Daphnia pulex: one gene and its partner. The protein of the gene in region 1 interacts with the protein of each later gene in a pairwise test. Links are inferred from orthologs where the notes say so. Each region holds a gene or a part of one and is shown in the gene's direction. Other genes may lie near its edges. The genes, in order: U4/U6 small nuclear ribonucleoprotein Prp3-like and splicing factor U2AF 50 kDa subunit-like.

Region 1 (16,303 bases):
TGAGGTTGGGGGTGGAGCAAGAGACCAGTAGGGGTTACATCATGGGGATGGATCACTTTTGTGAGTGTAAAACCTTGTAAAATGTGTATTTGTTGAATGATTAGGATCTAGTTGGTTACCCTAACCAGACTTGAAGAGTAAGATTGCCACCTGCCCCAAGTAGAAATAGATGAAATGTCTGGTTTCATGAGTGACGTAAGAACCAAAGTTCCGCCCAACTATGCAATGCCAAGTGGGATTGTACTTTTTGTCAAACTCTTTTTTTATGTATGCAGCAATATCCTATGAGAAAAACGTATTATGAATCAACCAGCGAAAGCAAACAACTTTGTTCCTTTAACACATTGTTTTTAATGTTTGAAATATCCAATTACTCAAGTATTTTGACTGACCTTTTCAATATTGTACTTTTCCAAGGCTTGTGTTGCACAGTCTACTGCATCCTGCTGCATTTCCTCCGACATATCCGCATTTTTAATAACAGCTTTTCGATCGGCCATTCTTTTAAAATTTTGTCAAAACTTCTGCAGGAGGAGATGAAAAGTGGGAATGAATCAGACCTGTTGCGTTATAGGGCCACTTTGAGTGCTAAAATGATGAATAAATCAATACTTGTTTTAAAGGACCAGCCTTAAATCTTTTCTTTTTTTCAAAAAACCTAGAAGTTTCTACTGCACAGACCTCGGCAACAGTAAATCAACTATAGAGTCAAGCACACTCAGAACTGACAACGTTAAATTCAAGATCTTTCTGACCGGCGCAGATCTGCAGACGGTTAAGTTCTTCTTCAATGATATTAACAAAGGCCTGTTACCAGCAACTTACATGAACTCTGATGTTCGTAAGTCAAGTTGTGTCCAAAGCGCCACCAGTGGACTGATTCATTCAAACAACATACTAACATACTATCATGATAATATGGTTACAATTTGGTTAGTAAAATACAAGGTTAACAACATTTGATTTCTCATTTATTTTTCATATTGCATTCATGAGGGAAAAACGTTTTTGACTGAATGAATGTTTTCCGTTAGAGGGCAGTAGTAACCGTAGCAAAAAAATGCGGGACTAAAATTGACAGTCAATTGCCTATCGCACAAATACCTTGCTCCAACGTATTAAGGCTTTAAGTATCGGTAGAAGTAAATGATAGAACCAAGTGATTCTAACGATAGTTACAAAAGGCGCGTTTTTTTTAAACAGGGAAATTATTGAAAGTCTATCAACTATAATTAACAATAATAATTATTCACGTTTCTCCTTGCTAAAATTTTTAATTAAAATGAAATGTGTGACGTCAACATTTATAAGCGTTTCCGTTTGCTGCTGTTAGAATACTTTTTTAAATATCACATTTCCGGGCGGAACGGACAAAACAAAACATTGTGAAATATAATAAGGAACACAAAAGAAGAACATAAATACTTTTTTTGTTATTATTATTTCAAATCTAAGTTGTCTTATCCCTTATGGCACGCTCAACTATTTTTCAGACTTACAATTTTCAGAGCTATTGCTTATGGCAAGCCAACTCAAAATTTCACAGGAAAAAAGGAATAAATGCACCACTGAAAAATTAAAGATAGGTTATTGTTGTAACCAATGCCGGTTTATTTATACCAGTTCTTGAAAGGAGATAACCCCCAGAGCAAATGACCTTGTCACAAAGTTGATCGTTACGTCAATGCGGTTGAAAAGAACTCGACCTTGATGTACGATTTTATACCAGGTATAGATTGCACGCGAACGTCGTTACCAAGAGCCCAACAAAAATGTCGCGCAATAGGCTCTGCATGCAAGGGTCATTCAGTTAATTGCACCAGAACAAAGAAGTACTCAAGATAACAAGCATAATTTTGAGATAACTGAGTTAACCATTAATAGCTGTGGTTCGGTCTTCGGTTTGCGCTTACTAGAGTGCCACCGTGTTCACTTTGAAACCTAATTATTCACAAAGCCACTAATATGAACTTATTTCAACTTAATTTTCATCCGCGATTTATTTGCTAGATTTATAGGCAAACAAAAAAAATTAAAATCACAAAAATAGTAACTATAAAAAAAAGACAAAAAATAAAAATAAAAGCGTTATCAACTTGCTGATCTGGCAATGCTCCATGGCTGACGCCATTACCCGTTCAGAAAAATTTACGGCATTTTTCTGTTTGACAAGGGGCGCCTAACACCCAAGACTACTGTGACGTCTTTTTTCGAAAAAGCAAATTCCGTATTCGAATTCGATTTAACATACACATTTGGCAACTAACCGTAAGTGACAAGAAACAGTCAGTATGTCAAGTTCTCGCAACAATGAAGCCAGAATCTACGTCGGTAACTTGCCACCCGACATTCGCACTAAGGACATTGAAGACTTATTCTACAAATTTGGAAAGATTGCATACATTGATTTAAAGAACCGACGAGGACCTCCTTTTGCTTTTGTTGAATTTGAAGATCCCAGGTATGTTGCATGGTTATATTTGTTTCCTTGTTTAGTTAATTACAAGCACTTTATAGGGATGCTGAGGATGCTGTGCATGCTCGTGATGGCTATGACTATGATGGATATCGTTTGAGAGTGGAATTTCCAAGAGGATCACAGAATTCTGGTGGTGGACACAGGTCAGTTTTTCTATCCTCACATACCATATTTGTAATTTAGTTGTGATTGTTTTATTTTGTTGGTAAAAGAAATTATGACAAACAAGTAAAAATCCTAATTTAATTTTTCATAATATTTATTTTTTAGGGGTAGTGGTGGTCGAAGTGGAGGAAGAGGTGGTGATGGAGGTAGAGGAGGGGGTGATGGTGGGGGTAGCAATGGTGGAGGCAGGAGTCGAGGGCCACCAGCAAGAAGAACAAATTACAGAGTCATTGTAACTGGTGAGTTAAACATTTAGTAAAGTTTTAAACCATCATTTAAAGCCACTTTTGATATTCACAGGTCTTCCTCCTACTGGATCATGGCAAGATTTAAAAGATCACATGAGAGAAGCTGGTGATGTGTGTTATGCTGATACCTATAAAGATGGAACTGGAATGGTTGAATTCCTTCGCTACGAGGATATGAAATACGCCATCAAGAAATTAGATGACTCAAGATTCCGTTCACATGAGGTATATTTTCTACAAATCTTGATAAACAAAGTTTTCAAAATTATTCGTACGTTTACAGGGAGAAGTATCATATGTGCGCGTTAAGGAAGATAGCGGAGACGGTAAGTTATATTTCAATTTTTGTTTAAAGTAAATATTGACCTTGAATTTTTTCTTCTATAGGTCGCAGCGGCGGAACTCGTGATCGATCGCGATCTTATTCTCCAGCCGGTGGTGGCGGCAAAACACGTGGAAGTCGCGGCTCCCCCAGCTATTCCCCCGTTCGTCGTGGTGGTTCATATTCCCGTTCGCGCTCACGCTCACCTCGTTCCAGATCACGATCTTAAAAAAGTTATGGAAACGAGAAAAAGGCAAAACTAAACAAAAAGACAAAAGTTGTGCGATGTGGACAACAAAAAGCTTAAGGATTGGAAGGACTGGAGGAGGAAAGGGGTCTTTGGTATTGTCTCCATGGTTCATACTATATTTTCAAAATTCTTAGATGAATAGCAAATCTTTTAAATTGCAAAAACCAATTTTTTTTTTTTTTACAACAAGCTACATCAAAGATTTCAATTTTTTATGAGAAACTCAAAATATGTTTCTTGGGTTATGATTTTGGCATTTGCAATTATTGCTACTAATCATTCAGTTTCTTCTCGACGTACACGTAATCCTTTTTGGTTTCGAATACCCTCAGAGCTCCCCGATTCCAACCAACTAATTTTTTTTTTTCCGTGAGCAACCTCATCCTTTCCTTTTTCCCCTCCCTCTTGTAATACACAAAATAGCTGTGCGTCGAATAAACATGATTCTCATTTTCTTCCCCTTTCTATTTGTAGCGTACACAGCAAGGTTATTGCTCTCTCTGGATGGGATTGTTGTGGGATTTGGATTGCATTGGATTTGGATTTCATTGGAATGGATTTGGATGGATGCATTGTGGATTGATAGGTGACAGGATCTGGAGGATATGCTGGAAACAGCAACCGCTTCTCCTTTGTCTACAACCGTCGTGGTGAATCGCTGTGGACTTGCCTTGTCAGGACCCGTTTATTTTAAAGAGATCTGTTGGACTCCGGCACTTTGGAATTGAGCCCGACCTAAGACAAGAGTTAACTTAGGATTGCTTACCCTTTGATTTTCAGGCACTTTTTTCATCATCATACAGAGAAAGAAGAAACCGACGGATGACGACAAAATGGAAATAATACATGCCTTGCAAATGGTGATATTTCCTTGGAGTACAAAGAAATTCCTTCGATGTTTACCGATACTTCTGTTTTCGGCACATTGGAAACAGTATTACCATTTTAATGACAATTTTTTTATGTATGATACGATTTAATACAACCAGTGAAATGCTTTTGAAAAAAAAATTATGACCAAAATTATTCTGTTCTCTAGACTAAAACAAAAATTTGATGACGTGTTTAAAATACAAAGTTGCTTTTCGTCTTAAACACAGAAAGAACAATTAAAACAATTCGCATTACGATTACTCACCATAGAAACTTAACGTAGAAACTGTTTCAGAGAAAAAAAATAGGTTTTTGTTTAGTTTTGATTTCTTTCTAAATTTATATCTCCTTGTCCTTGGAACCAAAAATGAGAAACAAAAATGCTTTGAACTTGAGCGCTTGCTTCTTCTTTTTCTTTTTACGAAAGTCCCAGTACTTCCTTAAGATTCCTCTAGATGGCGTCTTCGCGTTGCTTGGGTAACCAAAAACGTATAAAAACGTACAAATTTTCCCCCAAAATAGTGTAATTACACATTCACTTTGAGCATACTCAAAAAAACATATAGTTTGAAATTATATATTTGTACAGCGTTTTGAGTTTATCATCTGAATTTCTACGATTTTTCTGTGCATCAATAGGCTCTTATCGGTTGTTAACCGGTCTCTAAACAGAGCAAGTTTAGACCTGCAGTTACGAACTACAGTGGAAGATTGAAGCATTGGTAAGAATAATTTTGTTTTTTCTTCAATAAACCGATGATTTTATTTCACAATACATTCGTCATTTGTCATAGATTAAACATTGTTAGAAGATATTTTCAGTACGTTGAAAATTGTCACTATAATAACATTGTAGCAGAATGTTTCTCTTCAGTAAACAACAACTTTTCTTTCTTTTTTTTTAGGCATCTGTGATATAGGTTTTTTGGGGTATTTCCAATCATGGCTACTACAAGCATAAAAAGACCTAAAGAAGAAGATTCACTCGATGGACCTGGTCGAGAAGCAAAAAAGTTAAAATCACGATTCCAGGATGACAGCAATGGAGATGGAAAGAGTGACCAGGATACTACTGAACAACTCTCTTCTTCTCAGATTAGAGAAATGATGATGAATGCTCAAAAGATGATTGAGGAAAGGAAACGATCTCTCAATCAACCGCCAGCTCTTCTCAAGACTACCCCAGTGCTCTCATCACTTCCAACACCTGTAGCTCCTAAAGCCGTTCCCCCATCTTCAATGGATGAGCGTGCCAGAAAGATTGCTGAACTACAGGCTCAAATTCAGTCAAAACTAGCCACCTCCACTTTAGCCACATTGAACTTGAGTCTTCCTAAAACAGCCAGTGTCCCTGCATCAACAGGGGAAGGGTCTAATAATGAGCCGAAACCTGGCCCACTTATTCTCAACGCTGATGGAAGGACAGTTGATGCGACTGGTAAAGAGATTGCCTTGGCCCAATACACACCAACTCTCAAGGCAAACATTCGTGCCAAAAAACGCGAGGTGCTCAAGACTCACATGGGCAAAGGATCTCAACAACAAAGCGAGGAAGCGGGAAATTTGACGGAAAGTCGCTTCTTCGATCCACGTGTTGCAGCCAAATCCTCCGTGAGAACACGCAGAACCTTCCACTTTCACGAGCAGGGCAAATTTCAGCAAGTGGCATCTCGAATGCGAATGAAGGCTCAGTTAGACAAATTGCAAAGCGAAATCTCTCAAATTGCCCGTAAGACTGGCATCAATTCAGTCACTGCACTTGCTCTAGTTGCCCCACGAGTTGGCGATCGTCAGGAGGAGGAGGACATTGATTTGGAATGGTGGGACTCGGTCATCTTGCAAACACGAAGCTACGAAGGCGAAGACGGACAGCCCAATTTACGCCAGGAGACGATTACCAATTTAATCGAACATCCCATCCAAATGCGTGCTCCCACCGACCCGCTGGCCTTGCCCTATTTGCCCGTCTTTCTCACCGAGAAAGAGCGCAAGAAGTTGCGCCGCACCACTCGACGTGAAAATTGGAAGGAGAAACAAGAAAATATCCGTTTGGGACTGGAACCGCCACCTCAAGCAAAAGTTCGAATTTCTAATTTGATGCGCGTGTTGGGCAACGAAGCCATCCAGGATCCAACCAAAATTGAAGCTCACGTCCGCGAGCAAATGGCCAAACGACTTCAAAATCACCAGGAGGCAAATGCCTCTCGAAAGTTGACGGCTGACCAGCGACGCGAAAAGAAGGAGAAAAAGCTCCAAGAAGACACGACAACGAGCGGTGTGCATGTGGCGATTTACCGGATCAAGGATTTGTCCAATTTATCCAAGAAATTCAAAATCGAGACCAATGCCAAGCAGCTTTACATGACGGGATGCGCAGTCATTTTCAAGGACGTTAACGTCGTTATAGTCGAAGGAGGCCCTAAACAGCAGAAGAAGTACAAACGCTTGATGCTCAATCGCATTCGGTGGGAAGAGGACGCCGTCAAGGTTAGCAAACACGACACTGGTTCATCCTCCCAGCCCGAAACGCGGAATTCCTGCCAGCTCGTTTGGGAAGGCACGACCAAACAACGCAATTTTGGTGACCTCATCTTCAAACTTTGCCCATCGGAGGTTGTGGCTCGAGAACATTTTCGCAAACACGGCGTCGAACACTACTGGGACCTGTCTTATTCCACAGCAGTGCTGGAAGAAACTGAAGAAAAGTGATCGGTTTCATTCTGCCATCAACTTTAACTCTTTATTTTTTTCTTTTCATTTTTGAACCAAACGTTCATCTTTGAATATTACCATCAATAAAAAGATTTGTCTTTATTTCTTTTTTTTTTCTTTTTTTGTGTACAAAAACGGGGAATGTTATACAGGTCTTCGCAGGAACATGACAGAATATATCCTTTGACGCTGGGCAGCTTTTCAGGCACTCGGTGAATAGAAGGTGTAACGTGGTGTCGTGACGGGTTGCAAAACAAACGATAATCCGACAGTTGTTTGTGTTTGGTGATCTGTTGTTGGTTCTCCGTGACCTATGACGCAGCATAAGGAAAAAGGTGGTATTTATTAGACTAGTTCGTGATTGTCATTTCTAACAGATTTTTTAATAGTTTCCTTTTCAGCGAAATTGAATTTAGAATTTTTTTAAAAGGAGGAAACTAACCGCCCAAGGCTTCAAGTGATGACAGGAGGACAAAGCCGACGAAAACGGATAAAAGCTTAATTAATCCATTGCCGGATTTCCTTCGCTCGCGTTCCAACACTTCGAGAAATGTGACGTAAAGGAGAGTTCCGGCTGCGACTCCTTGAAGGATGCCGATGGTTAACGTGTGAGACGGCGTAGGATCTTGAAAATATTCCGTGACGAATATTCCAATGGCCACTCCGATAGGAGTGATAAGACCCAGTGTGACCATGTAGGCAATGTAAATGCCTACACGAATGTGGGAGGCCAACATCTCCATCCCGATACAAAACATGATTGCCAGCTCGTGAACTGTAACGGCTGCAAATAGGAACCAAATGTCCTTCAGAGTTGGCTGCAATCCTATCGCCATTCCTTCGAAAATAGAATGGAACGACAGTGCAAAGACCAACAGGAAGCCGCGTATCGCTGCCGCGACAGATCGTTCTTCCAGGTCCGACAGTATGGGTGGAGGCCCATGGCTATGCCCATGATGGTTGTGTCCATGATGGCTGGAATCGTCGGAATCGTTGTCAGTTCCTTCCTCAGTCACGCGTTTAGTGCCTATGTCCTCTTTAGGCACTGTTATAATCGTCAGCTTGTGGCGATCATCTTCCGAGTCAGATGTGACCATTTTAACAGGACTTTGGCCATTGACCGTAGGAGATCCTGCAGCATTTGTTTTCTTCTTTTTCTTCTTCTTTTCGCCATGACCCATCAACAGTTCTCCGAGTTCTTCAAATAGGTAAACGGCAAAGAAACCCAATACGACGATGCCTTCCGAGAATGGGAATTGTTCCAGAGCCGGATACTGACCCGATTTAATCACCTTGTCGAACGAATCTCGAACCTGAAACATGTTACGTAATATCGATAAGTTATCAGACAATTTTTCAGACATCTTGACACTAAACAATTGTTTTATTTGATATTACCTCTGGAATCATGTGAATGAAGCAGGTGGAAAGTAGCAGTCCGGCGCCAAAGCACAAAAAGACAGACATGAACAAATCCACTCGTTTTCGTCGTTTGTTGATTGTTTGCTTTTCAGCAGCTTTAAGGTCTCCACGTTGGCTCCACTTGTCGAGTTTTTGATACACTTTTAAAGGTAACAATCCCGCTCCGAGTCTCAGCACTGCGAGCAGGATCGCAGCACAAATTTTGCTGACCAACATCATTTCTGTTTCGGTGAATGAGACGGCAGATTTTTATTTAGTGTGACGTCAATGTGAGAAGCTGTCACACAACCAACGTGGCCGAAAGTATTCGGCACACAGCGCCTTGACTGCGTCTCGACAGTCGAGAAAACTTGTTTGATCAACAAATTGTCTTGTTGTGGGTGGGCGTTTCACTGTGCGGATTCTGATTTAAATAAATTAGCTGCTGACGACGAGGAACTGCTGGCGGATTGGCGATGGCAATTATGGAATAAGGTAATGATCCAACGGTTGCTCAACAACAGATTCATGACCTAAAGTATACTACGCCAAGTCACTACTTCTCCACGTGTGCTTGCGATAAAAGATTCGACAAAACACAGACTCAAACAAACAAGCTACCGTCTGCTCCTTGGTCGTAATTTTTTCGGTTAGCGACAGACACCTGTTGATTGCTGCGGAACGCGAGCGAGTCGATCCGCTCGTTCGCTCGGAATGTTTTCGTCTGACTAGCGAGGCCGACAAGACACAACACCCAACTCTCTCTATGCCCCTCCTTCCTTTTTCTTGAGTGTTTTATGTTTCACCCCCAAACGAACCAACAAAAGCGCTTCACCACGATTTTCTCTTTTCCTTGTGTTTCCTCCATTTATTTTGTGTAGGCTTTTTCTGGTCTCCAAGGTTTCTTTAACGACGCTCTCTCTTTCTTTTTCCTTTGAAGGAGAGACTTTGTACCCTTCGGTTATCACAAAAGATGACCAGAGAATTGAGGAAGAGTGGTTAGCCGCTAGATGAAGAAGAGAAAAAGTACCAATGTTGTTTATTTTAACTGAATGCCGCGTGACTCGTCCCTGGTAACCACGGCTCCTCTCGGTTCAATATCTCATCATGATTATGCACACACGTACGCACTTTTCCCAACTGGGAGCAAACTGTGTTGGTAAAGCCAGAAGGTTTCAGCCAGCCGTTTGTTGATGTCTGGTCCCGGATCTGGATGGTGTTGCAATATCCCTGCGCTAAACTGCCAACAGTCAGCAAAATTTGATTTATTAGGAAACGCGTGGCTTTGACATTTTCACATTCAAATGCGTTTGCCTGTTGAAAAGCGTGTATTTATATAGGAAACGTTCTACTCACGTCCTTTTGTTACTTATTGAAATAATCGTACGTCCGTGTTTTTTTTATATTATACAACTTCCGAGCGGATGTGAACGGCGCTTCGACCCATTTTACTCTTTGTAGGAAACAGCTAGTAACACGCCCATGATTCGTGATTTGTTTTTTCAACTGCAAACAACAGCCAACGTACCCTCCGCTTTCCTTATACTATGCCCGGCAGCAAACTAACTTATACAGTAAACAAATATCGAGATTACCTACATCTTTATCTAACATTTTTAGTTTAGTGAACCTTAACCTCAACTATTTATCGCTCATAGGGGAAACACATGAGAGATAACACCAATTTTCAGTTAAAAAATTTCTTAGAAGTTATTTCTCAGCAACTCGGTTGAACATCACTATATGGTCCATTCATTTGAAAGACGCGAGATTATAACCAACCCGCGAAATTTAAATAAAAAATCTATCAGGGAAAAACCCAGAATTTCGCTCAAGGATAGAGAAGGAAGAATATAAAGATAAAATCTATGATTGCATTATCTTTATAATACCTCATGTTTTCTTTCCTGCATGTTCGAAAATGTGTCGCGACCTTATGCTGGTATCCCCACAAGCACTTTTCAATATAATAAGCTTACACAAACACAATGAGCAAGTAGTTGTGTATAAGGACGACTTTTGTAAGCAATGTCGGACAGTTTCAAATTGTTTGCAGATCCTTGTTTTAGGGGAAACACACTCCATGGAATTCCTACGGGCTTATTTCAAATTTTCGTCGGCCAAATGATTGGCAGACTTGGCGTACGTGATGTCTGATAAAAGTCTACCTGGCGCATTCATCATGGGATTAAAAGGATTTTTCGGTTGTACACTTGTACTCTTATGCTAACGGCAATTCAATCTTGCGCAATCTCACATAGGTGGCGCATAACTGTACTTCACTGTTTGTCGCATATTTAAAAATCTCGAAATGTTTCGAAACTTTTACTTTCCGTTAGTAATCAAATAAAATTGTACCTTATTTTCACCTGCCCGATAAAGTGTTCCCCGAGAGAAACTAAGCGATGTCACGAAGCATAGAAAATATCGTCTCACTTTCTAAATTCATTGATAATAAAATTAAGCAGAGAAATGAGCCATGACACAGCAAGAAAAAGAGAGATTTTGGGAGCAACAACCTCTTCAACATTATAGCCACGACGGTGCAAAATTTACCTAGTCGTTGCCAAATATTGTTTCGTCGGGGAAAACAACCATATGGGGCATGGGGTACAATTGATTGCTAGTCCTTTTAGGGGCTAGGGGATTCCCTTTTCCAACTTATGCGCTGCACCTACATGGAAAAATTCTGCATTAACAAGCAAGCAGGATGCATATTGTTGTATGGGGAAAGTCTTACTGAAAACTTCTAACGCGGTAAGCGCAAGAAATCCCGCTAAAATGGCAAACAGCTTCTCTAGACCGTTTCCTGGTTTATGGCGTTCACGTTCCAGGATTTCGAAGAACGTGACGTAGAGGAGAGTTCCAGCCGCGACACCTTGCAGAATGGCGATTACTAGCAAATGAGTTGCCGATGGATCGTGGACGTACTCTGTGACGAGGATCCCGACCCCAACACCCACCGACGTGATTAATCCCAACTCTACCATGTAAATGACGTAGAGGAGAACGCGGAGTTTGGACGCCAGCATCTCCATCCCGATGCAGAACATGATGGCAAGTTCGTGAACGATGACGGCGGTGAAAAGAAACCAGACGTCGCTCTGGGTTGGTTGTAAACCGATGGCCATTCCTTCAAAAATCGAATGAAATGACAGGGCGGCCACTAGGAGGAATCCGCGGATCGCCGCAGTGACGGATTTCTGCTCTTCGGCGGATAATGCCAAGCCATGAGCGTGTTCTTCGGGAGATTGGTTTCCGTGGCTGTGGTAATTTGGAAGTCCGTTATTACCGTCCTCTGTCCTCAGTAATGGTTGTGTTTTGTTCGGTTCTGATGTGTTGCAAGGAGTTGTCCTCAAATTCAGCGGGTAGTTTTCGACATCATTTTGCTTCATCAATCGTTCGGCCAGCACTTCGAGAAAATAAACGATGAAAAATCCTGTGCAGACAGCGATTTCGGCAATGGGGTACCGTTCCAATGCGGACCATTCACCAACCTTGGACGCTTCTAAAAATGACGTCCTCACCTAATCCAGGAAATCTATTGTTTCATTATATTAATGGTTTGAATTCAAGGTCTGAAATACCTCAGGGAGCATATGGATGAAACAAGTCGATAAGAGAAGTCCGGCACCGAAGCAAAGGAACATTGATAAAATCAACTCAACTCGACCTCGTCGTCGGATTCCACTTTGTCCTTCGCTGAGACATTTCTCTAATTTTCCGTGAACTTTAAGAGGTAGCAATCCGGCGAAAAGTCTTATCACAGCCAGTAACACGGCTGAGCATATTTTATCAACAAGTAGCATTATTACTCACCGCAACACCGTCCAAACTATAAAGTCTATCTATTTATCAAATAGAATTCAAGGAGAAAATAACTTGCTTTTATTGGGATCGTCTACTGGATGAGTAGTATACTTTCCCGTAACTAATCTGACGCCAAAGAGTAAACAGTAAATTTTTACCTTAAAAATTCGTTGAAGCGTCGCAAGCAAAATCATCATGACGACGTTTTCAAATGGGTATTTTCCAGTTCGACGTTTGGGTACCAGCTTAGCCGCTAACTAGAATTCACTTTTGTTTCAGTCTCAATTCATACCCGCCACAGTATATACTTAAAAGTGCTGACTGAAAAGCTGCAATCAAAGATGAAGAAATCGTTTCTATTTGTTGTTTTCTCCGTGGCCTTAGTTGTCGCATGGGTTGAAGCAGGTAATTTTGCAAGTGTTATTCAAAACCTAGTTATAAACAAATTTAAACTTCTCTTTTCCGCATTTCAGATACGGAGAAATCCAATCAGACTCATCCGCTAATTATGGGACCGCATTGCCATATTCAACCGGGCGTGGACCAATCCAATTGTTACTGGAAAGGTTCATCGCCATTCTGTGTAAGCGGTGATGCATGTCCGTACGGATTTTCTTTGATATGCAAACACGCCTGTGGAGACGGGAAATGTTGTTGGACGGGCAACAAGTCCTTGTGCTGCCCAATACCAGGGGAATCCATCTAAAAATAGTCCATTCAAGGTTTTAACCGTTATTCAAAGTATTCTTTTATTACAAACGACGGACACCTTTTGAAATACAACTGATATCAATTATCAAATCACTCTTATATGTGTTTGCTACACTTCGCAACTGCGTAGTACGCAAAAGTTTTCTTAAAAATACAGGACGTGATCGCGATAAACTTTCATGGTCTTCTGTCGTATTACGACTATGCGTTTTGTTTTTAATTAACATTTACAAATATAAACCAGGATAGAGATTGTCTTAATCCCACAAAACTGGATTTAATCTAGACGAGGCTTATTAGCAACGCGGAGGTTATGACCGGTATATTAACACAAGATCAATTTTCCTCAATACCAGTACATAACCAGTTTTAATTTAATCACTATATTAATAAGCCAGGTGCCATCTCATCATGTGACGAAAATTATTGTGTCATCTTTTGAAATGTAGGTTATATACGCTTAGAGATCAAATAAGAAACGTTCAGTCTAAATTCATACCCTGAAGGTGTTTGTTTGGCCTTTTCCGATCGAGTTGAAAATGCAAAAATCTGTTTTGTTTGTTTTCTCTGTTCTCTTAGTTCTATCATGGGTTCAAGCAGGTATTTTAGCACATTATTTATTGCATTGAGTTGAAGGAATTCAAAAATTGAATTCGCGATTTTATTCAGATCTAGCGAAATCTGACGCACAATTTAAGGGACTGCATTGTCATATAAAAGACGACGTGGACAGATCGAATTGCTACTGGAAAGGAACATCGCCAATTTGTTCGACAAGCAACGAATGTCCAACCGGATTTAATTTGGTATGCAAAGACGGTTGTGGAGACGGAAAATGTTGCGTGACCGGCGTAAAAGCCTTGTGTTGTCCTATTCCTAAAGCAGCAACACCATAGAAACCCGTTCACAACTGATACAAATAATTGAATGACAACAATGAGTGTAGATCATATTGAATGCGTAACTGTTTGTGCGTATAATTGTATACCCTTTTTCTGAATACATCCCATTTTGAATTAGAAATATTTTGAAGTTGTGTTATCAATTATTCTCTTTGGCGCTTCTCTTTTTATCAGAAAACAATGAACTGTACTCTATATTATTATGCTGCTAAACACAAAGTTTATATTTGGGCACCAATAAAATTCAATTGAAACTTTACAGACATTACGCTTCGATGAAAATTGATAACTGAAAGTCACCAATCACGTATTTCACAGAATTGGAAGTCCGATTCTTTCGGCGCATCTTATTTCGCTCTATACGAGATCAGAAAAATTTGCAATTGCGGATTGAATTCACATCGAAGGACAATTTTGATTATGTAGGATTAAACATTTCTAATTGAAAGTAATAAGGATTGTTTGATAATAAGCAAACCATTTTCCGTTCTCGACGGTTACCGTGCATTTGGAAGAAGGTTGACTAAGCTAGCGTAACATTAAGAAAAGCTAAAGTGGCGTTAAGAATATCTGGTAGATCCAACGTTGTTTCTTCAAACGGTTCGACAGACGACTGATTCATTGCAACGTAATCAACTGGAGGATATGGCGTGGTGCTCGTAGTAGTCTCATGTTGTCCAGCTACATTTACAAAATTCAAGTTGATGAAAGTTTGTGCTGTTAAGGTAATGATTAAAACTTACTAAACGTTTCCATGGTAGTAAGTAGGAAAAATCCGATGGCGATGGCTGCTAACTTAACAAGTCCGTTTCCTGGTTTATGGCGTTCACGTTCCAGCACTTCAAGGAACGTTACGTAGAGAAGAGTTCCAGTAGCAATACCTTGCAGAATGGCGATTACTAGCAAATGGGTAGCCGAAGGATCGTGGACGTACTCTGTGACGAGAATCCCGACGCCAACACCCACCGAAGTGATTAATCCCAACTCTACCATGTAAATGACGTAGAGGAGAACGCGGAGTTTAGACGCCAGCATCTCCATCCCGATGCAGAACATGATGGCAAGTTCGTGAACGATGACGGCAGTGAAAAGAAACCAGACGTCGCTCTGGGTTGGTTGTAAACCGATGGCCATTCCTTCAAAAATCGAATGAAATGACAGGGCGGCTACTAGCAGGAATCCGCGGATCGCCGCAGTGACGGATTTCTGCTCTTCGGCGGATAATGCCGGTCCATGTGAATGAGCATGGTCTCCGTGACTGTGATGAATGCTACTTCTTCTACCGCCATCCAGGCCGAGTAACGACTGAGATTTGGCTGGGACCATTTCATGGCCCGTTTCTTCAGGTGGATCATGTTTGATCAGTTTTTCCCCTAGCTCTTCTAGTAGATAAACCGCAAAGAAACCTATGCAGATGACAATTTCGGCAAAAGGAAATTGTTCCAATATTGGCCAATTACCAACCTTTGATGCCTGAACGAACGACACCCTTACCTAAATCAGGAATTAATGTGTCATTTGTTTTCTGCTTTTGCTGAAATTGAAGAACTAAAATACCTCTGGGACCATGTGAACGAAGCAGGTGGATAAGAGCAGTCCAGCACCAAAGCAAAGGAACATGGACAGAAACATTTCTACGCGATCCCTTCGTCGACTTCCATTTTGCCCTTCACCGCGGCGACTCCACTTCTCCAGTTTTCGGTGGACTTTTAGTGGTAGCAGTCCAGCAAAAAGTCTGAATACAGCCAGAAGGACGGCTGAGCATATTTTACTAACCAGCAGCATTTTCACCTGAGACAACTAAAGAAATAAAACAGAGAAATTTAGAAGCGTTCAATCAAGAGGTTATTGTAAACGTTTTTCTTGCTAGACGGACATAGATGTCCTAGATGTCCAATGTTTTCCGACGTTATTATGTCGATTTATCCCCTTCTGGCAGCAATTCGTATCTCTCTGAGGGCTTCCAGAAATGTCTATCTGTTTCTGCTTTAGCTGTTAAGAATAATTGCTAGCTAGAATTCCCCTCTAACCTATTTCACGACTTGCTCTCAAAAGAACTGCATTCTTAACGAAGCTAACACAATATAGATAACTTTAGGGAAGGCCAACTATGGGCTACGTGACTACCGACTAGTATAGGATCCGTGAGCACGAGTGAAATATCGTTTTCATAATTGATCACGTATATCTCACCTTTTCTCTGTTGATTGCCTTTTAAGTGGCGCAAGTTCTACGCTTTAAGCAGAAAAGTTTCAAAACAAATTAATTGCTTTCGACTTTTGTATTAAACCTTCTTTCGGAAGACGACAACGCTAACCTTGTTACCTTGCGTACCTCCAAACTGCAGTGAAGGAGTTGGTAGAACTTCCGTGCGACTATAGTCTGAAAAATTAAGGAAGCAATAAGTAATGCATCAACATAAATTCGAAG
Region 2 (16,303 bases), on another chromosome or scaffold:
GGTAAAAGAGGTAACCTTGTTTATATTATTGACTTTGGTCTGGCCAAAAAATATCGTGATGCCAGAACCAATGCCCACATTCCCTACCGAGAGAATAAAAATTTGACTGGTACTGCAAGATATGCTTCAATTCACACCCATGTTGGAATTGGTAAGGTTCAGATGGATAAAAATCTTGATTCACTTTCTAAAATAATTTTTCCTTCGCTACAGAACAAAGCAGACGTGACGATCTAGAAAGTCTTGGTTACGTTTTAATGTATTTCAACCGAGGTTCATTACCCTGGCAAGGCTTGCGTGCAGCAACTAAACGACAAAAATACGAAATCATTTCAGAAAAGAAGATGTCTACTTCTGTTGAGGAGCTCTGTCGTGGATATCCTGGTATGAATTTGTTTAATGTTTCATCTAGGTAGACGTTGACGTTTGTCGTTTTTATTAGCTGAATTTGCCACATATCTCAACTACTGCCGGTCGCTTCGTTTCGAAGAAAAGCCAGATTACCCGTATTTGAGACACCTCTTCCGGAACCTGTTCCACCGGCAACGTTTCACATATGATTACGTATTTGACTGGAACATGCTCAAATTTGGTGGTGCTCAGAAGCCAGCTTCTGGAGCTAATGGAAGCAGCAGCAATGGCTTAGCAACAGCTAACTCAGCCCTCCCTGTAGCACCAAATCCAGTGTCAATGCCTGTTGACGTAGCCGCATCTTCTGAAGATAAAGAGCAGAGGGCTCGAGCCTACAGGAATACACCCATCGCTCAGTGGGTGGGCCAGACAGCAACTCTCCCACCTGAGAGACCTGTACAGCCAGCGACCAATCCCCCAGCCCCCACACGGCCCTCGTTCTCGCATCCTACTAACCCCCTGCCTGCAACGTCCGCTTCGTGGGCTGCACGTTCCCGTGCAGCTCGTACCCAACAGTGAAATAATGAAAGTATCATTTGAAGGCTTTTAAGATTTGATGGTAACAATTAAGTCATGAATATATGGATATTGTTACCGATATGTACGACCAACCCTTGTTGTAAATGTTTATCATCCATTTTCTTCCTCTGATCTTGCCACTCTTTTGCATCCCTTCCCGTTCTCCTCAGTTCTCGATTTGCTCTTCGTAACGTGTCGCAGCCTTGGAAATCGTTTTTTGAAGTAAAGTGATGAAATGAAAAAAAAAAAATTACTTGTATGTTGTCACACTTGTAAATTACGCGACAAGCTTATCGGAATACAAATGGTTTCTCAACACCAGTCTACACTTAATAATAACCCACAAGGAGAAAAGACGAAATTTTCAAGTCATCAATTTATTCAACATAAAACTTACGAATCAAACCACTTCCCTTTCTTCCCAGATGTAGCTTTAGCCATTTTAGGAGCCCCAGTTGTTACACTACCAGCAACTTTCTTTTTTGTCGATTTTGTCTTGGCAACTCCCTGGCAAGAACAATGCAAAGTTAATTTTTTATTTATGACTGTATTCCCTAAATTTACCTCTTTCTTCTTAGCGGACGCTTTGCGATTCTCGGGATTTTTAAACATTTTTCTTCGAATTTTCGGTTTCTTTGATGGAACAACTTCAGCATCGGGGGGACTAGGTCGTTTACGATGTCGAATTTTCGGTCCTCTATGCGATGGTAGTCCTTTAATTTTAGGGTCAGCTTTTGCTCCACTGAATTCTTGAACGGGTAGTTCAGCAGTCGCATTGGTAGATGCGATTTTTTCATCTTTCCCTTTTTTTACATTTTCAAGACTTTTCTGAACACGGTTCAGTTTGGCTTTTACGGCAGCACGATTCTCCACACTGAATTCCACGATAGGTCGCTAAAAAACAAAAAAATAAAATAAAAATAAACACAGAAAAGAGGAGTCTCAAGTAAATTATGTTTACCCTATCTTTTGAAAACAAAGTGGGATTGTTGTTGATATTACGCAATGCCAGTAATGCGTCTTCGTGTTTGGTAAACTTTACAAATCCATGCCCTTTGGATGGATGTACGTTTCCTTCACCAACAGCTTTTAAGTCGCGCATAATTTTAGCCTAAAATAATCTGAAGTTAATAAGATTCTTGTTATACAAAACCAAAAATTTACTGCACCTCTACGATTTTGGCATCTGGGGATGAATGATTCTTGAAAAGCTTAGACAACTTTTGATCCGTAAGTGAGGGTGGAAGATTATGGACAACCAATCGTTCCCGTGAAATAAACATGTGGAGATTTCGAAGCATTTGCTTTTTCCATAGTTCGTTTTGTTGCCTTTTCGCCATGTCAGTTGGAGAAACTCCTTGAGCGGCTAAGGTACCAGGTCTAATAACTAAAGAAAATTGTAAGATAAGCAAGAAAAAACAATCTTTAATATCTACATTCAGAATCTTACATCCTTCGCGAGCAAGAAATAGATTTCTCTTATCCTTATGTTCCTTTTTTTCAGCTTCTTGCTTTTTGTGATCGAGGTCTTCCCGAGTAACTGCAAGAGCCACGTCTAAAATGCGTCCATCTAACTGTAAATATGGATTTCGAGACTCTTCTAAACACTTTTGAGCCGATTCCGAATCCTAAAAATGGTTAATATGAAAAGTTATTAGTATGTATTTATTTTTGCAATAATGCAACTTACTCTAAATTTTACGAATCCAGTGCCCTTGGGTCTCTCCATAATTTTATCCATACACAACAATGCATAGTGAACACTGCCAAATTTTTCCATGAAATTTTTCAACGAGTCTTTTGTGGTTGAAAAGTCCAAATTTCTGATAAAAAGAGTCTTTCCTTCTGCTACATCACTCTTCTTTTCTATTTCAGAATTATCACCCTTCCAAGCTTCTTCTTTTTTTGGACTTTCTTCTTCACCGGAACCATTCTCAACTTCAGAATCAGAAGCTTCTCCATCTTGTTCTTCTTCATCATTATCTTCTTCTTCATCATTACTTTCTTCATCATCAGATTCTTCATCTTTTCTGTCATTTTTCTTCTCTGGCGGCTCAATGTTTGGAACTTCGTCAGTTTTATTATTTAAAGTGGCATACTGTTGTTTTGGTATGGCCCAATCAATAGCTATTTGCCTTCCTACAAAAAAAAAACAATTGATAAGCTATTATCAAATTTAAAATGTTAAAATTTTCTTACCAAGAAATGGTTTTGCATTGCATTCTTTGATTGCTGTAGCCGCACATGGAACTGTTTTAAATTGAACAAAACCACAGCCAACTAAAGTGCCACCAGGTTTCTTTAATAATTTCACATCCTCAATTTCTCCATATTTCTCAAACCAGTTTTTAACAGCTTCTTCTGTTGCCTGTTAATAAATTAAATCAAGTACTAACTTACTAACATACTAAAAGTAGCATAAATTAAAGTTTCTTGGCTTACTTTGAAAGATAAATTGCGAATAATTATTCTTCCTCTTTTATTGGGTGGTCTCTTCTTTGATGTGTTTGCTTTAGTAACAATAGAAGCTTCTTTTTTAACTGAAGAGTGATTCATCTTTTAAATCTATCCAAACACGTGCTTGTCTGTATAACTGATGTAGCTAGTCAAGCAGACGATTATATGTGTCAAAATGTAGCATAGACTGTTGTCAATTGGCAAAATGACAACTAATGAGGATTAACATGAATACAACAATTACTCAGAAAATAAATTTTATGTGGCTATTATTTTATGAAATATTTAATCTTACCTTTCAGTATATTAATCAAAACCAAGTTTGAAATTGTAAACATTAAATCGACGTTGCCGGTACAAGGAGTCAATCGAACCTCGTCTCCGACGCCATTCGCCCATTCCCAGCCTTTAATCAAACCGGCTTACAGTCTTAGTGAAAATTTGGACAATAATTAACTGTTTTCCTCTGCTGTGTTTCTTCTTATTGTCGTACAAAAGCTAACAATCACACGTTAATCATGGGAGAAGATAAAGATGATCGTAAAGGTATGTTTTAACTTCTCTAAACTACTTCTGTCAATATCAACTATAATGCTTTTGTAATGTTCTTAAGAGTCTGTGATGCTTAAGAAAGAAATGTTTAACACACATTACTTACAAGTAATGGGTGTTTAATGATCTGGTTGTATTTTACACATAATTTCATAACTTTTAATGGTTTATAATGTTGGCTCGTGGTTTTGCTTTTGTATGGAAATATTAGTCATAGTAGTTAGAAGGTAGTCAAGCAAGTAAACTTACTTGTTTGATTTATTAACATTTGAAATACTTTAGTTGACAGGGAGAGAGATCGTGACCGTTCCAGAGATAAGGAAAAGGACAAGGAAAGAGACAAGGATAGGGAAAGAGATAGAGACAGGGATCGTAGACGGTCCAGGTCTCGTGACAGAAAGAGAAGGTCTAAATCTAAGGAAAAGGAGAAGGAGAAGAAGCGTAGCAAGTCCCGTGAACGTGAACGCAAAAGGAGTCGTTCTCCTGTTAAAAAGCAACGCCGAAGAAAGCCGTCTATTTACTGGGATATTCCTCCTATTGGTTTCGAACACATCACACCCATGCAATACAAAGCAATGCAAGGTATAAATCCTTATTCAAGTTTCAATTTTAATGTGCTAATTATTATTTTCTTGAATCTACGTAGCTGCCGGACAAATTCCAGCTAACATAATGACGGAAGTAGCCCCACAAGTCCAAGTACCAGTAGTGGGTAACACAATCACTCGTCAAGCCAGGAGACTCTATGTTGGGAATATTCCTTTTGGAGTTTCTGATGTACGCGCAGCGGAGGAGGAAATGATGGATTTCTTCAATCAACAGATGCATTTGTCTGGTCTGTCTCAAGCTCCAGGTCATCCCATTTTAGCTTGTCAAATTAATCTGGATAAGAATTTTGCATTCTTGGAGGTTTGTTGGATTGTTTTCACGTGAAACCTAGTATTTTAGTGGAATATTTAAATAATTTTGCTCTTTTACTTTTCAGTTTCGGTCAATTGATGAAACTTCCCAGGCCATGGCTTTTGACGGTATTAACTTTAAAGGTCAAACTCTAAAAATCCGCAGACCCCATGATTATCATCCAACACCTGGTGGTGGCGGCGGAGGAGGAGGAGGTGGTGGTCCCGAAACAACGCCCGGCATGAGTTCTGGTGGTATAACTGAAAAGAGGGCTGGAGGTGGAGGTGGTGGAGGAGGAGGAGGCACAAGTAAGGACGACTTAAAGTGATTCTTTTATGGCAAATTTCTTTAATGTATTCATTGTTTTTTGCTCAGTGAGCACGATCGTCCCGGATACACCCCACAAATTGTTCATCGGTGGACTTCCAAATTACTTAAACGAAGAACAAGTAAGTTACCTGTTTCGTCGATGTGACTGTAAAATGTGTTTTCGATTGGGAGAAGAAAAAAGAGTGAGAGAAATGGGATTTGTGAGCGTCTAGTTGAAGCAAAATCGATTCTGATGAATGTCTTCTTCTTTCGTTCTCCCTAAACAGTGGTCACGTGATCCTTAAAACTTCCTACCCATTCCAACCACACAACCTCGATCCATCTCCCCACCGTCGATCCCTAGATTGTTATTTTTGAAGGTCGACTCTAGGCACGCACGCAAATTGTCTCATTCGAATTTAGGTAAAGGAATTGCTGATGTCTTTTGGACAACTTCGAGCCTTTAACTTAGTTAAAGATACGGCTACTGGCTTATCCAAGGGATACGCTTTCTGCGAGTATGCCGACGTCACCGTCACCGATCAAGTAAAGTAGACCATGATAATATTCCTTGAAAAACCATTACATCTAATTTTATTTTTCTTTCAGGCTATTTCCGGATTGAACGGTATGCAGTTGGGAGACAAAAAGATCATCATCCAGCGAGCCAGTGTTGGAGCCAAAAACGCCGCTGCTTACGCCCAGATGCCAGTCCAGATTCAAGTACCAGGATTCAATCTTGCTGCCGGTCCTGGCCAACCGACAGAGGTACAAAAATCAACCTTGTCTAATGCGACAATTTTTAATTTCATTTTGGTCTTTTCTTTTGCGTAGGTTCTATGTCTGCTGAACATGGTGACACCCGAGGAATTGAGGGACGACGAGGAATATGAGGAAATTGTGGACGATATTCGTGAGGAATGCAATCGTCATGGAGCCGTACGTTCAGTCGAAATTCCCAGGCCGTTGGAGGGTGTCGATGATGTACCGGGAGTTGGCAAGGTCTTCGTCGAGTTTATTTCGGTGAGCGACTGCGTTAAAGCCCAGCAGGCGCTGACAGGTCGCAAGTTCGCCAATCGTATCGTCGTTACGTCATTTTACGAACCGGAACGCTATCACCGACGGGACTTCTAAGCCATGACGGCTTCTGTCATCAGACAAAAAGTAATCCGCAAGATATGCCCCTTCTTTTTTTTTTTTTTTTTACTTTGATGAAACAAATAACGTCATGACGAACCGACGCTTGATGAGAATAAACGGCCTGATGCGTACGGGATTTCCCTTGATGAATTTGATTTTCTTTTTCTTCAGTTTTTTTTTGTCATTTCTAAATGGGTTTTTCGATATTTTGCATCAAGTTTGTGTTGTCCAACCTCTTTGTTTGGCGTGTCGGTGAAAAAACAAAACAAACAATAACATGTGTAGTAATGTATAACCAAACCATATTTCCCAATACACAAATGTGCGGTGAACATCAAACTGCCACATTATTCCATTTTCGAAAGCATCCAATTATTTCAACTTGAACTAGAAATAAGTCCATATTAAAACAGAGGTTCAATAAACTACGATAGAAGTTGTTTTGGATTTTATTCTTCCCTGTGGCCGTGTGACAGGTAGAATTATTGCAATCGCCCAACGAATGGAAATTGAAATTGCGTTGTGGGTCGACTAGAAATAGTTGTTGCAAAAGTTTACCTGGCGGGTTCTTTCCCCATTTGTATTAATAAGCGTTGATTTGTCCTAACGTGTTTTGTTTCATCAGACAAAACTAAAAAAGGAATCATAATTATTTTTCGCCGATAAAGTTTTCTTTTTTGAGTGGTAAAAATTAAAAATGAACGAATCGAACCGTGAGAGCGTGATTTCATTGTACACAAAAGAAAAAAAATACATACATGATTGTACCGATTATAGTAACTGACCCGAACAAATGTCTCTCCCGCATCGTCAATTGGCGATAACTCCGCAGAGATATTGCACTTTACAAAGCTTTCAGATCGAAGCGGAATTTTCGGCCTTTTTTGTTTTTAGTTCCCATTTTGCTGATAGCAAAATGAAATTACTCGAATCATAGCACCTTTAATATGTAATAGCCCTTTCTTATAAAAATGAACAATAGACTCGTCATGAATTTAAACTTCCTGACGGGAGGGCAAATAGCTAATACAGCAAATGCGAGCAAATAGCTATTGAAAATTGCAGAGAAAATGGTCACGTTCTCGCTGGACATATTAATTGTAAGTACTTTGAAATATTATTAACTTCCTTTTTTGAACTTGCCACACCATCACGACATCATATGTCATCAGCGTTAACCACCAAAAAGAAGCCAGTTAAATAACGAAAGTATTTCTAGGCGTGCCCCTCCTTTTTTCCCTTCCTTTTGCGGTGAGCAATCGTGCTCGGTTAAAACTCGACGCATTTAAACAATTCTCATCGAAACGCGAAAGGAAAAGGAGTTTGTCTAGCCGACAGTCGAGTTCGAAATAAACAAAATCCACTAATAACCCGACCCATCGCACAATAATAAAAGGCAGAAATAAAAGAGCTTGAATGAGTGTGTGTGTGTGTGTGCAAGTCTTTTGTGAAAAGTTCACCACAATAAGCCTGTCATAAAAAATCAACACATCGAAATGCCAGCGTGAATTGACAGAAATCGTGTCCATTCATTTTTCGCCCTTTATAACGTCAAACGTAAGTGCGACCACGCTGGATTTGGGTTGACCGAAAATCGACAGTTATTTCGAGAAGGTGAAATGGAGAAAGGAGAAATAAATACTTATAACAACACAGAGAAATTAACAGTAACAAGTGGTTGCAAGGTATTATTCCGTAAGAAGTAGATAAATAGAAACGACCTTGTCGTCATCATCATCGCGGACGGTCGTCTGTTTTGTATGGCCGCGCTTGCGGTACGCGTGCAATCGCCCCGAGTAGTTTGCGTTTCTTTTCATAGACATTTTTCATGTAACGTGAACTGCGCAGTGCCCACAAAAAAATTGAAACTTTTGGTTTGAAAAAACCAACAGAAGAAAACCAAGTTGATGGAACCCTCCCCTTAAAAAAAAGCGAGTTTTTAATGTTAACGTCCCAAAGAAATCCGACGATTCGACATGAACTTCATCAGCACCTTTTCGGGATGGTTCCACTCGCCGACAAACATTCTTCCGCAATTTTTTTGTCTACAATCAGCAAAAACAAATTGCAATCGAACGATTTTAGAATTTGAAACAAATTCAAAATCGGCCCGGAACTCTTTTATCTTCCCTGTTTTTTGGCCCACCTAGAGAACGAATCAAGAATGTATTGCGTTCATTCCACATACTGGCGGTCACACGAATGGAATTCTTGAAATTGGTTACAGTGTCGAGTTTTTTCTTATAACCCAGTATGTTTCAGGCTGTACGTCCAAATCCGGACCATCTGCGTGACAGTCACCCTCATGTGTCGGTCGGTACCAAACTATGGTAGATCGCGTTTCATGTGTAAAAGCAACGCATTTCAACCAACATCCTCAAAGGCACAAAACAAAATAGAATATGCACAAGGACTTTTTAGTTGGATGAACTTGAAAAATACAAGTTCGAAAAAAAGTTATCGCACCTTTTTCCCTGAGGTGAAATACAAGACGAAGTTCACTGTACCGCACTGTACTTCGGTTATACAATTTTCGTTTTTTTTTTCATGGATAAAGTTTATACCGCAGCAGTTAATATATTTAAAAATATCTTTGACGATGACGGCTGAGACTAAAGCGGCTGCCTTGATTTATCATCGCAGTTTATTTGAGTGGCAGTTTACTTACACATAATAAAGCCGACTTTCTCTTTTTTAAAGTGAGATTCTTCAAAAAACAAATGTTGACATACGGCAAAAGACAACAACAAAAAACAGCGGTCGACTGTTCAGCTGTTCTCGTAAGACAAAGGGAAAATATGGTCGGCCTCGTTTCAGGCCTTTAATCCACACTCGTTCAACAGCACACATATATTCTTATATATTGATGATGATACTGTACTGTATATATACGGCCCCCATCATCACTGATCTCCGTTATCATCCGTGTATTGTCCATCTACGAGAACTCATCTTTTTATGTTCATTCTCTCCGTTACGATACGAGAATGATGCTATACAAGTTGTTCGACTTACTTACTTTCCTTGACAAAAGGAACAGCAAACGGCCGACAATAATAATTTCGTGAAGAAGCAAAAAGGAACCGAAGAAGCGGGAATTTTAAAAAAGTCAATGACGAAGAAAGAAGAAACAGCAAAGCAACAATATAAAGAAAGTAAAAAAAAACAAAAGAAAACAGATAAGAAATTATTATTGATTCCGTTAGCTACTGTTCTCTTGTCTCGTCTCATTTCCGGCTGGCCGAATGACTCATTTTAAAAAACGAAATTCTTGTAGGTCCATTTAAATGCTTATAACATAGCACCACTTCCTACACAGTCGATTTCGCGAGTACCGGACTGTCGAACCCGTTTTTCTTCTTGTGCCTCGATCGTTCGTTTTTTTTATTTTAAAAAGAAAAAAGAAAAATAATAAAATAAAATTTAAGAGAAACACACAAGAGAGTTGCAGAGCGACATTATAAAAGACTGTTATGTTTCTTTTTGTTTTGTTTTTTTCCCTTTCTGTACGCATTGCACGTATTGCCCGGCAGCAAGTGCATAGGCGCTAACCGGATAACAGTACATGTGAATGATACACGCGCCCCGGAAGGCTATGAACGTGGCCGGAAGAAGGAGGTTGTGCTATGCCAGCAGCAGTCAGAGCAATGTCACGTCCTCATGTGACGGTATGCCCGCTCGTTAGTTATTACACAAAATCCGGCTACTTTTTTTGTTCGTTCCTCCCGTTGGAAAACTCACACAGAAAAAGAAGAAGAATATAGTACTTTATGATGAGAAATGTCCGTACTAGATTTAAAGCATCTGACAAGTCTGTATTAAAAAATCACGGCGGATCTGACATTTCTAGTTTCAACAAGGGATACCAAAGACGTTTGATTTTTTCTGATTTGCGATGGGCACCAGTAGAAACAAGTCTCATAAAAGTAACGGTAACGATGTAAAGTCGAATGCAATTTGTTCCACGCAACTTAAAATTTTCGTCGCATAGTCTTCTCTCACAGGATAAAACCAAAATTGGAGACCACAAAGAAAAATGTCTTCAGAGCAGGAAAACAAGCAGACAGAATATGTAGACAATCAGAACAATTCAAATTTGTCTTTTTCTTTCAATATTTCAATCGGATTTATTCAATGCGGACACATACGGGCGCAACCGTCTGTCAATGTCCACACGACCTGACGACAAAAGCTCACGAGCCATCCTTGAAGAGTTGAGTAACCGACATGCCGGTCGTTTGAACGCCAAGAAATAAGTCGATGGCTATCACGATCAAGTTTTCGTTCCTCCCTCGGGAACATTTCAGGACTCGAGTAATGTGATAAAAAGAATCTACTAAGATTTTTGAAATGTGACGCACTGTTTCTGATCGAGACTGCCAGTGGGTTGGTGGGTCCAAACGACGGCCGATTTCTTCCCTTCTTAACGAGGTAATGTACCGTGAACGTAATTCGGTCACGCCGTCACTCAAGTACGTATAGCAGCTCTCTTTTGGTTTAATTCAATCATCACGTAATCAACGGATCAAGCCATAAGGGCGCCAATTGCGGGCGCCTTCAAATGGAACAGTGCCGCGAAACAGAACGAACAAGTATGCCTAATTTGCATCCGTGCGATGCTTAAGTACACCTTTCGTGAAAAACCTGCCGTCGGCTTTCTCAATTGCGTGTATTATGCACGGAGTCTGCAGTAGGGTCCCATAATGAAACAATCTCATTGTTCCCGTGTCATATAATATAACGTTAACAAATAATTTGAGGCGAACCATATGGAATGAAATGTCATTTAGCTGCAACGCAGCCGACTAAATAACGACTTTTGAATGGTCACTTAAAGTCAAGAGCGGTGGGCGGCATGCCGACCTCGTTTTCTCTTGGCAATTCCGACAATTTCAAGAGCGGTATAATATTATACGATTGTTTCATGACGATTACATTGCCCAGTAGAAGGCGTCGATGCCCCCTTTGACAGTGTTCTACAAGGGAGCTGTTAACAAGTATTGCAAGAAAGTCGACAGCATCTTCATTCCCGGAACTGGATCCCAAAAAAAGATCGGCCCACTTTGATGACAATATTTGAAATGCTGACAACGCAAACTTGGACTATTGTTACGGTACACCCGCCCTGTTACATAAAAGATACAAGCCCACACAGTCACTAGAATCCGACGAAAGTCAAAACTAAGAAAAAAAGAAAGCGTCAACCATTTGAGGAACAGATGGAAAATATTTGTTCCTTAAAGAAACTGAAAAATAAAAGAGAGAGAGAGAGAAAAAAAAACAATGGTTTCTAATTCTATCGTATTTGGGATGAAACAAAATTTTTTATCATCACACTGCGTGATGCCCGTCTTATATACTATACGTTTTTTCGCAGTCATATCGAGAAGAAAGCGCCAATTCAAACATTTCCATTTCAACAATGGGGGGATATTTGAAAAGAAAAGACATTCGCTCATTAACGCCGGTTGAAAGCAACATCAATGTTCTGCCATCCCTAAGAAATTACTCGGATAACAGCGAAAAAAAAAAAAAAAAAACGTACAGATGCGGATGTCGACCTCTACCTTCATCACGATCTCTAATGAATTTAAACGATAGTAAATTCTCTATTAACTCGGCAATTCTTTCGTATTTCAGCGTGCCACCCCCTGCCGTGATTTGTTTGATCGATGAATTGGAGTGAAACAAAAGGGTTGGCAAAAAAATAAGGGAAATAAAAAAAATCAACAACCAACGAAACAAGAATCGTGTCCGACTTGACTTGTTTCTTGCTCGTAATCAACAATCTCATCCGCTCGACCAGCGGAATCAAAATGAATCAGAAATGAATCGTCATTGAGGTCAGCAGCGAATCGTCGGGAGATAATCAAAATAAGAGCATGAACTGCGCAACTGCTATTGTCCAACGGGAGCGTGCTAATGAATTGGAGCGTGCTTCTCTGAACGACGACGACACGTAGGCTACTTTTTAATTGATGGCGGATCGATGAACGCAGTTTCTCAATGACACAAATGGCTGCTCCAATTTTCCCTTTTTTCTTTTAACGACCATCTTATTGCTTGATTTTCCTGTGCCTATCGATACTCCGTGAAAAATTTCTAGATGAATTTCACCGTGATAGTTAGAGAGAGAGCTTAACGCGTCCAATGGTCGAATTTCTCTAGATATATATCAACAAGTCTCTGTCCGAAACGACACGGAGAATTTGTCGATTGTCGAGTCTATTAAATTGTCTTACATCTTCTCTAAAAGTGTATGATATACATCAACTCTATACATGTTCCGGTTCACTTTTGGCGTCCTGTTAAAGGACTTTCTCCCGGCATGGCCGCAACATTAATAGCAACAGATGCTCCGCGATTTAAAAAAAAAAAAAAAAAGATTTAAACGAACCAACAAAAGAATAAATTAGCTTAGGAAAAAAACTTTGTGGCCTATCAAGCAGTGCTGATTCCAACCCCCCCGAAAAGAAAAAAAAAGAAAAAGAAAACAAAGAGGATTCGCCATCGTCATTCCCACCGGCAGAAGACGATGCAAGGTGTGTGTGTGTAAGCGGGCCTGCAGGTGCTTGTGTGTGTGTATCAAGTTCCTGCGGTGTGGGGCCCAACCGTGAGCCGGGGCCCTTTATTAAAGAGTCTTTGCCAGTAGCCGAGCTGCATCAGTCGCTTTGCAACGCTCGTCGATGACGCCCGCCTTCTGTTGTTGATCTTCTTGTATCGAGTAGAGAGAATTTGTTACGCAACAACAAGCCCCAGTCCAAGACAGGTTGGAGAAAAACCCAGAACTACCCCAAATTTTTGATTGAAACACAACTCAGCAGCGGTCTTATCTTCAATCGCGGACCTCAGGCACTGGATGTGTCGCAGCTTGTCGATCAAGAAATAAGCCAAAAGAGGAACAACATTTTTCTCAATCTCGACAGGAACTGATCCTACTCCGAGCCGTGATCCATCAGTTCAAGACTTGGCCCATCATTCAACAAGAGAAAAGGAAAATTCAAGAGGAGCCAAACATGTCGTTGACGAGGTAAGATTTTTTTTTAAATATTTGTACATCTTTTCCTGGTTGCTTTGGGCAATCAAATTTATTGAAATGGGAAGTGGTGCTTTCTTTTTTAAAAAAAATGTTGGGCTTTTTCGCTCTCACTGAGAGATGCCTCGAGCAGGAGCGACAGTGGACAGGACGCATTCTTCAAAAGAATTGTACCGTACTTCTGTTACGATACTGCGTGTAAAAGAAATAAATATCAGAGAGGGGGGAAAACAAGGAAGACTACATAGCTGGACTTATTGTGCTCGCTTGCCCGCCCGCTTGACCGGCAATAAGGTGCAATTGCAAAGAAGACGGAGCATCAACCAAGACTCCCCATGAGCTTCAAAGTCCGTCTAACGGCCTTGCGGTCTGAATAGGAGGACCCGAAAGGGAGTAAAAATCTGTGAGCGATGCCCACACATAACGACTAGACACGAGTGGCTTCGGCGTCAACAGCACAACAGGGATGGACGGGCCTACACTGATCCGTCCTTGTGCATTCAGTGGGATCAGCCATCCGCAACGGGCCTGTTGTACGGCATTGTGTTTTCTCTATCTCTTTTTAGATATTTTTACTTTTCTCCCACCCATGGTGATGCAGTTGCCAACAAAGTCCCGAAAGCCTCTAGTAAGTCCAGCATCTGCTCAAAACAGTTGAAAATTCATTCCTTGATAAAAGCGGTCAAGAAAAATAATATGTGAAAGCATTCGACAATTTATGGCTCAGCTTCTCGATGATTTCGTCGTGGGCTCGTCAAAACAATCGCGATAATAGTTGGCAAATTGTGTCTAGAGGTCATTAGCACCGGGGCACACGCAAAAGGGCCATTTTCTTACATGCCTTTTGGCAGAAAACGAATGGGACAGAGAAAAGGATATGGAGATGACATTAATGAATGTATCGCGCTCTCGATACTTGCGCGAGAAAAACAGTAGGAGACTCTCTTGCGCACTCCGAGAATAAGAGAAGAGCGTGGTCCATTTCCTGTCTTTTACAGCCCTTAAATTGCTCAAGCTAGTACCTCTGCTTATATACACCTTTACGGACGAGCTATATACAACTTGGCTCCCGCGTCTTGCACCATTCCCGTCTCCTTCGCAACTTTTTTCTTGTAGCAATTCTTGTTTTATCTTTTTCTTGCTCTCTTACAATTGATGACATCAACTCGTAAAAATGGTTGGTTTTTTCTTCTTCTTCGTCTTGGTATTTTTCTTTGTCCTCATTCGTTAAGATTATGTCGCCATCGCTCTCGAGTCTCGACTTATTTTTTTTTTTTGCCTCACTACTCGAGATTTTGTTGATTATTCTTTTAAAAACTAGTCGAGTTTACAAATCTACCTCTACGCATAAAATCAGTTGAGTAATCACAAACCAGGATTTCCAGTAAAACAGTTTAATTTTTTTTATTTGACATCCTGGTTTCTTTGAAAAAAAAAACGTGTGTCTTTGTTCATTCCCGGGCAGTTATTAATGTAAGTAATCATCTATTTTGTCTAGTCTGAAATGATGACCCCTTTCATTTAAACAGACGGAAACGATGCTGACAAGCTGTTGATTAATCTGTTATCTTTTAATTGCAAACTAGAGCAAGTGAATTACTTGAGCGTACATGATGAATTGTTAGGGAAGAAGAGGCTTACACAGCTTCAAGCCAATCATGGTAGTAATTGTCTCATTAAAAACCGATAAGACCTTCAGCGGTCCATCTTACTCACATAGTCGAGAATTAAATCTCACGACAGACCGCTGTTCCCTCCAATCATCTGCGGGCCACAATAATGTTCTCTTGTCGTATCAAAAATATAAGGAGGAACGACGGTTCTTATTCTTTCAGACATGACAGATATACAGAAAATAATATCAGATCGAGAGAAGCAAAAAGGTAATTCCGTGGTGCACAGTTACACGGCACAAGCCAAACTGAATTTTTTTCCATCTCATCATTTTGAGAAAAACCACTCCCAAAAGGGGGAAGCTTAATTATACTGTATAAGAAGCAATGTAATCTCGGGGGGTGGGAAAAAAAAGCTGCAAAATTCTGAAGACTTGTCTACGATATAGCTTCCACGATTAGATCCGTCGAATAAACCGCCGTGCGTGTAATCATCATCGTCGTACATGTATATACTCCGGGCGGTATCTTTTTTTTTTCTCGAATGGCTCCCAATTGATGCGATTTAGACACAGTACATATACAAAGAAAGAAACTGAATGAAACGGAAGGGCAAAAAACCTGCAGAGTTTGAAAGTGAGAAGTGCGATGCTAAAGAAAAACAGTTGCATGTTCATATTTTTCTCTATCGAGTCTCTGGCAATAAAACAACTGGTTACTTTTCCTTTTTCTTTTTCTGACTCGAAAAACTTGCTCTCTCACGGCGGCTAGAGAAAAAAAAAGGTCGGCCGAGAAGGTCACGCTGCGTACATTCGAGAATTTCGACTCACGCGACTTGTTGACTATTCCGCCTCGCCGCCTTATATTTTCCCGAACGAGTGAAAGTGAAGACTATATAACGCACACAGTAAAAAAAAAAGAAAAAGAAAAGAAGATTATCGAATTTCTCAGAGCGGTTCCAAGTGCGTGTAACATAGACACACACACACACACGTAATCGAACCAACTTGCTACTTTTCGTACGTCTATGCTACATTCAGTAGGGAAAATTTGGGGGTTTCGCTATCACGAACATGTCGGGAGTTGCCGGGGTGAAGACATTTTGCCGTTTTCTATTTCCCGATATTGAACTTGCGGTTGAAATAGATAATTTCAGGTATTTTTTTTTTTTTAGATAACAATGGCACCGAGACACGGAAAAAGTGAAGCGTCTGGCACTTGTCAGCAATTGTTCTGCTCCATAAGGGCAGACCATCAATGCAATCATGCATTGACGGTTCGTTTTCTTTTCTTTTTCTTTACTTTTGAAATAAGAGAAACAAAAGAAGGAGCAAGGCTACGTCCTTGGCGTGCTACCTGTGTGCCC

What was found.
Region 2: the proteins of U4/U6 small nuclear ribonucleoprotein Prp3-like (region 1) and splicing factor U2AF 50 kDa subunit-like interact in binary tests that used the Homo sapiens proteins (3 or more experiments, as listed by UniProt). The link is inferred for Daphnia pulex from reciprocal best matches to the Homo sapiens genes PRPF3 and U2AF2.

What each region holds. Positions count from the first base shown.
Region 1 is NC_060024.1:10,549,862-10,566,164, reverse strand, and holds U4/U6 small nuclear ribonucleoprotein Prp3-like, read left to right. Parts: upstream 1-4,795; 5' UTR 4,796-4,814; exon of another isoform or gene 4,815-4,860; intron 4,861-4,976; 5' UTR 4,977-5,059; intron 5,060-5,242; 5' UTR 5,243-5,279; coding exon 5,280-7,046; 3' UTR 7,047-7,151; downstream 7,152-16,303. Other genes in the region: serine/arginine-rich splicing factor 1-like, read left to right, coding at 2,292-2,461, 2,518-2,622, 2,750-2,883, 2,945-3,117, 3,176-3,218, 3,280-3,443; zinc transporter ZIP3-like, read right to left, coding at 7,251-7,360, 7,492-8,362, 8,448-8,690; zinc transporter ZIP1-like, read right to left, coding at 14,397-14,554, 14,617-15,367, 15,431-15,658. UniProt on the Homo sapiens protein: Plays a role in pre-mRNA splicing as component of the U4/U6-U5 tri-snRNP complex that is involved in spliceosome assembly, and as component of the precatalytic spliceosome (spliceosome B complex).
Region 2 is NC_060018.1:5,203,267-5,219,569, reverse strand, and holds splicing factor U2AF 50 kDa subunit-like, read left to right. Parts: upstream 1-3,752; 5' UTR 3,753-3,905; coding exon 3,906-3,933; intron 3,934-4,221; coding exon 4,222-4,521; intron 4,522-4,585; coding exon 4,586-4,848; intron 4,849-4,924; coding exon 4,925-5,147; intron 5,148-5,214; coding exon 5,215-5,288; intron 5,289-5,571; coding exon 5,572-5,694; intron 5,695-5,757; coding exon 5,758-5,916; intron 5,917-5,982; coding exon 5,983-6,282; 3' UTR 6,283-6,648; downstream 6,649-16,303. Other genes in the region: casein kinase I-like, read left to right, coding at 2-151, 214-384, 443-930; RNA-binding protein 28-like, read right to left, coding at 1,324-1,437, 1,495-1,824, 1,892-2,041, 2,100-2,317, 2,381-2,558, 2,621-3,069, 3,130-3,298, 3,373-3,486; mucin-6-like, read left to right, coding at 13,305-13,318. UniProt on the Homo sapiens protein: Plays a role in pre-mRNA splicing and 3'-end processing. By recruiting PRPF19 and the PRP19C/Prp19 complex/NTC/Nineteen complex to the RNA polymerase II C-terminal domain (CTD), and thereby pre-mRNA, may couple transcription to splicing.